Kluyveromyces lactis: one gene and its partner. The protein of the gene in region 1 purifies or fractionates together with the protein of each later gene. This does not show direct contact. Links are inferred from orthologs where the notes say so. Each region holds a gene or a part of one and is shown in the gene's direction. Other genes may lie near its edges.

Region 1 (3,559 bases):
GACGAAATTATCAAAAGACTAAATTGGAATCCATTCAAAGAGTTAAACTTGCCAAAAAACTCGGAACTACTTGAATCATTAAGAGATGTACAAGTTAGATGTACGTCCTATGCGCTTGTCTTCAAAAGAATTCCAAGTTCCAAAATTGATTTGATGGTATCCAAAATTCCCGTTAGCTTCAGGAGTGTAAATGCTATCAGTTATGATCAGTTCGATCCAAAATCTAAAGAGAATGTCCAAGAGTCTAGTCAGTGTATTGATTCTCTTGCAAATGAGGAAACTACTGACGTCGATGAAGTGACAAACAAAAGGATAATGACAAGTGGGAAACGCTCTTTCATAAACGCAGATTTAGTAAGCATAATAGCAGCCAAACGGTCCAAATTGAAGAGACTCTCCATATCTAATGGTGATGTTAACCCAGTTGCTACTCTGAACGAGACAGTTGAGCAATCTACAATGTCCAATGTCACTTTCCAATTAAGCGATAAAAGTTTCCATAATGCTGAAGAGAAAGTAATCATTTTTAATGCAGAGTATATTGCCAAAAACTACAAGTTGATCAATTTCTTACATCAGAACAACTTTTGTGTGCTTGAGATGGATTTGGGGGATCATTCGGATATCTTGTTAGACGCATCTACCTGTCTCATTCTTCGAAATATTACTTCAGTGTATCAGAAACAGGTCGACAGCTTCCCGTTACTCCGAGCAATACAAGAATTGAAGTGTAAATATAAAAGAGTGGTAATCTTCTTATCGTACTCAGAACGATCGTTAGCGTTAGATTCCAACTTAGCTTACAAGACCCAACTTTTATTAAACTGTCTCGGTGGGACAACAACTCATCTAGTTGAGGAAACACAACTCAAATTAACAGCAACGTGGATTTCATTATATTGTGGTACCAATACGCCCAATGAACAGCAAATTTATCGCATGAGCCTTAGCAAAGAGGTCTTACAACATTTCGACATCAATCCAATCGCAATTGAAAGTATTCTGTCACTCACCTCATTAGAAGAATTCTTATCAATAAGTTATGGAAAAAGAGCCCTACTATATGGCAAATTTCTCACAGAATACCAACTAGCTCATATTGATGATTTTGTGACAATGAGTTGGTCAGAGTAAATTCATTCTCATACGTCGGCTCGAATGAACCTTACCCATCCAAGCTAAACTCACGATCTATTTCAACCAGTCATATTGAACGAACTCTTCTAGTATTGGTTTCCTGATTTTGATGAACCTTTTTTTTCCCTTCGAAAATGGAACTGAACCAAAACATATCAAAATAGAAAACTTGAAAATAGTTAAAAATGTACGAACCTGGCAAAGCTGTATCATTCCGAAAGCATAATAGTCTCGTTAAAGTTTTGATTCAGGCACCAGGAAACCTGTGACGTGATACATTGAGAACAGGGCTTGATAATCATGGTTGTACTAGCGGTTTCTATCACTACTCGTAAGGGTAAGCCTTTATTGTCTAGACAATTCAGAGATATCACGAAAGATCGTGTTATGGAATTGTTGTCGAATTTCCAGACTTTAGTTGCCAATTCCTCAAAGCAGCACACTTTTGTTGAAGATGAACATGTCAGATATGTTTACAAGCCATTTGATGATTACTATATTATTTTGATTACGAATCTTCATTCCAATATAATCCAGGATATGGACACGTTGAACATTTTTGTGCAAACGGTTGATTCTACTCTGAAGGGTCTAAGTGAGGAAGATGTTTTCGATAGTGCGTTCGATATCTTGAACTCATTCGATGAAATCATTACTATGGGCTACAAGGAGAATCTATCTTTAACTCAGATTAAGACCTTCTTAGCAATGGAATCTCATGAGGAAAGAATACAGGAAATTATTGAACGTAATAAGGAATTCGAAGCAGCGGAAGAAAGAAAGCGTAGGGCAAAAGAGATTTCGAGAAAGGAACAAGCAAGAAAATTGGGTATTCCGGACACTCAGGAATTCACCGGTATCCATGGTGGTGTTATGAACAAGGCGTATGACAGTTACTACAGCCATGCTTCATCCGCGGCTCAACAGTCACACATGCACACGCAATCTAATCAAGGTATTCAACAACAGAATTTAGCACCACAGCAACAACAGCAACAGCAGTATGCAAACCGTGAGCCTTTGGGTGGTAAAGGTTTGCAAGTCAATGGGCCAAGAAGAGGCGTTGAAAGACCGATCAAGAACGTGGAAAGACAATCATTATCAGTTCAAACAGCAACTCTGCCTGAAGAAGAAAAGCCTATCAACAATGGTATTTTAATTAGCGTAAAAGAAACTATTAACGCTGAAATTTCCCGTGATGGTGCTATCATGGGCTCAGAGTTAAAGGGTGTGTTAGAATTACGTGTTAATAACCCTGATCTTGCACATGCCAAACTATGTCTCGGTACAGACGTCAATGTCAAGGACAAAACGTATCAATTCAAAACCCATCCAAATGTGGACAAGGCTGGTTTCTTAACTAACAAAACGATCGGGCTAAGAGATCCTAACAAACCATTCCCATCCAATGATCAAAGTTTGGGTGTGCTAAGATGGCGTAAGGTTAAGGGTGCTGATGAACATGATTTGATCCCATTAGAAATTTCAACATGGTTGTCTCCATCTTCAGAAACGGATAATGCCATTGATGTTACTTTTGAATATGAAGTCAACAGTGATTACGAAGGAACTATCGATGAATTACGCTTCTTGATTCCTGTCTTCACCGATACTGTATTCATCAAAGATGATCTAAACGAGGCTAATGCAATCGTAGAGGCCATTGACGAGTCCCAAGGTATTATCATTAAGGTGGACCCAATTGAATCCGGTCAGTCAAGCGTATTCAGTGTTACTGTCCAAGCTGCTTATGAAGATGCGTTATTCCCTATCGAAGTTGCTTTAAAGAACAGCAATGCCAAACCATTGTCTAACCTAAATATTGCTTCTGTTGTATCTGCCGCAGATGACACTGAACTACCATTCGACACCGTATCTACCTTGAAGAGTGAACAATATGTCGTAGTGTAATTGCACTTTGCAGTATTAAACAGCAGCATGTGTCTCTAGCAGAAAATACTGCTACTATATAAGTAATCCTATACATGTTTGTGTATTTTTAAGAAGTAATGTACAGTGAACTCCACCAAAAGTAATAAAAAAAGCCGAAAACTGAAGAAAAAATGGTAATCTGATCCGTATGCAATTGATTAGATATGGCCTGTTAATACCTATTGCAATACGATCGGCGCATCTTGTGTCCTATCTTACCCATTGCCTGCTTTCATTTGTTCAAAGTTCCTATAAATCTACTACTATGTAATGAGAAATTCAAGATTCAGTGAAATTGAAAATATCAACATTAACTTAACTCAGACCTTGCATGAATATGTTTTGCCACCGAAATAAAGGGACAGAGATAGACAGCAACCAAGATGCCATCGTTACCAGAGCTAACCAAGGGGTTGAAGACTGCCTTTGAGGGCAAACAATATGAAACATGTTTGAGATTACTACTTCCTATCAAGATTGAATTGATTAA
Region 2 (2,694 bases), on another chromosome or scaffold:
AAAAATCACCATGTTCCTCGTAATATTGTAATGTCACTTTGCAGATGGTGAACGCAACTGCCATCCAAAATAAGACATAGAATCCAGAAAAGTCTGTTGCTATAGTTTCATTTGCAATTTCAATAGTATTATTGTCATCTATCCTCACCGTATTTGATCTGGCTGTTGCCTTTACTCTAGAATATTTCTCGTCTATTGCTGGCCCATTGAAATGAGATCTAAGCGGATTGTTGACCATCTCATCCATGATACTACCTCTAGAGCCCCAGTCTACATCTCGTGTCATGGACTGCATTTCATTCGTATCCTTCTTATATCTGTTCTTTTCCTTCACCTTCAATTTCTGCATGAAAACATGCAGATGTTTGTCGCCTTGTTCGGAGGTGGTTCTAGTCTTAAAGATAACCGTGTCGTTAGGCTGGACCGTGTTGAAAAGAACGTCCGGAGATCCAAGTTCATCGAGAACAGCATCCTCCAACTGTTCCTCATGCAAAGACTTCCTCTTCCCATGGTTGTTGTCGTTCAGCCTTCTTATCCTCAAGAACTGCTCATCCTCAGTTATATCCTTAACGGTGGTATCATGTGAACTGTCACTTGAACCGGACATTATGACAGGTTTTTAATTAAAGATCCAGTTAAATAAATCTTTTATGATATATTAACGTGGATTGACTCTTCACCATGAAATTAGTCTGAGATAAATCTAGGCCAAGTCGTGATTCGTCTTAAGAAGGAAAAAATTCTTGCTAACCTCTCTCTCTCACTCAGACGTTTTAAATATAAATCTCAAATCCGGAATTAACCAATGGTCGTAAGAAGTGTACTGTTAATTACTGAATCTGTTTCCTTTTCCAACCCGTATCGTTTAAACGTCCAAAGTAACTGGCTCTGAATTTCTTCTGATAAATACTCTCAATCCCTTAAATAAACGCCATATGGTGATCCACACCTTCGAGAATTATTCGAGAAAGGAAAAATACAAAAAAAAAGATCACGTGAATGAAAAACATCCATTACCCTGATCCTGTCAGTTTTTCAGTTTTGGACAATTCGCATGGTGGATCAAAGTAAGATAGCATATGGACTCTCAATATTAAAGGATACGTGTGAGATAGACCCGTTAATGAGCCAGTAAAGTCGCTTTCAATACACGATAACGGTTAATTGAAGTTTTCCGACGTCAGATTTGTTGAGAAAAAAATATCAACTCAGAAGAAATGGACTATTTTACTGTAAAACAGCAGTTTTATACTGGTAACTATGAAGAAGCGTTGAACGAAGTTTCTAAGTTTAACAAAACTGAAGATGAGGCGTTGACTTACTACAGAAATAGATCATTGATTGCATTGTCCCAGTTCAGTGAGGGTAGTGCTGATTCTGGCTCACTTGGGCCTGTATTTGAGGCTTACTATAAATTTTTAAGCAAACCTACAGGCTCAATCACTGCACTAGAACAAACCGTTGAAAAGGCGGGCAGATCTCCATTTGCATTGAACTTATTAGCAAGTGCATTGACTATAAAGGGCGAGTTTAAAACTGCTTTGGAGGTTGCCGTTGAAGGAATTGACTCCGATGAAACAAGAGGAACCCCGGAACTACTGTTAACGGCCATCCAAATAACTTTGTTGGATAATCAACCAACCATTGCCTCGACTATGTTTGAAAATTTCCAAGCACTTCAGGAGCAATCGAACGACGATGAAATAATTTTGAATCTTGCAGAGTCATACATCAACTTCAACCAGGGTAAAGAGATCACTGGATCCAATTTCTATTTCTTTGAAGAGTTGTCTCAAACTTTCCCAAGTTGGAAGACTCAATTAGGCCTATTGAATTTACACCTCCAACAATCGCATTTGCCTGAATCCAAAGCAATCATCGACCTCTTAGAAAGCGAGTTCTACGATATCAAACAAGAAGCACAAACGTACAAGCCTGATCTACTTGCAAATAAGATTACGTACACCATCTTATCTGGTGGAAATGCAAACGAATTGAGATCGGAATTGCAACAATTGAAACCATCTCACCCACTATGTGTTGCCGACCTTGAAAATAACAAGACTTTCGATCAAATTGTGGCAAAGTACACAGCCTAAATCTATATATATCAAATAGATCTTGAGTAGCAAATAGTATTGGTATTGGCGATACTTTCCGGGTAACATTGTTCTTTTTCCCATCAATTTCGTGGGAACTGTCAAGATAAAGCGGATTGATCAAACATCCTATACAATGTGAAGGGTTAGTTTTGAAACCAGTCACTCGGTATCGTTTTACAAGGCACCTGCGTTGTATTTAGTTCGAATATTCAGGGGAGTTGATCTTCTTATTTTGATTGTCGATCTAATTCTACTTTAGTTTCCCCCGAATTGAGCTGTAATTCACACAGAATTTGGAGTTTACAAGATGGCTACTGAATTGTCTGATGCTGAGAAACGTAAATTGTTGAGGGAAAGAAGGCAACAGAAGTTTTCCAACGGAGGTGCTTCCAGCAGGTTGAACAAGATCACTGGTCAACAGCAGAATAGCTTTTTGTCTTCAACATCTGTTCTTGATGAGCCAAAAGTTACTCCGTCAGGTAACAAGAAATCATCCAATGTGAGTGACGAAGAAGTTGAAAAGTCTACCAAAGAGATTCAAGATTTACTTTCTAGTATTCCCGGTAACAAGGACAATTCTGAAACTGATGCC

Evidence for each region. The genes of interacting proteins can lie anywhere in the genome.
Region 2: the proteins of RET2 (region 1) and SEC28 purify together in Saccharomyces cerevisiae (affinity purification with mass spectrometry; 6 studies listed by BioGRID). This does not show direct contact. The link is inferred for Kluyveromyces lactis from reciprocal best matches to the Saccharomyces cerevisiae genes RET2 and SEC28.

Annotation. Positions count from the first base shown.
Region 1 is NC_006040.1:975,897-979,455, reverse strand, and holds RET2 (coatomer subunit delta), read left to right. Parts: upstream 1-1,437; coding exon 1,438-3,048; downstream 3,049-3,559. Other genes in the region: ZIP2 (Zip2p), read left to right, coding at 1-1,134; proteasome regulatory particle lid subunit RPN12, read left to right, coding at 3,453-3,559. UniProt on the Saccharomyces cerevisiae protein: The coatomer is a cytosolic protein complex that binds to dilysine motifs and reversibly associates with Golgi non-clathrin-coated vesicles, which further mediate biosynthetic protein transport from the ER, via the Golgi up to the trans Golgi network.
Region 2 is NC_006039.1:798,603-801,296, forward strand, and holds SEC28 (coatomer subunit epsilon), read left to right. Parts: upstream 1-1,217; coding exon 1,218-2,099; downstream 2,100-2,694. Other genes in the region: ARE2 (sterol acyltransferase), read right to left, coding at 1-607; GET complex subunit GET2, read left to right, coding at 2,410-2,694. UniProt on the Saccharomyces cerevisiae protein: The coatomer is a cytosolic protein complex that binds to dilysine motifs and reversibly associates with Golgi non-clathrin-coated vesicles, which further mediate biosynthetic protein transport from the ER, via the Golgi up to the trans Golgi network.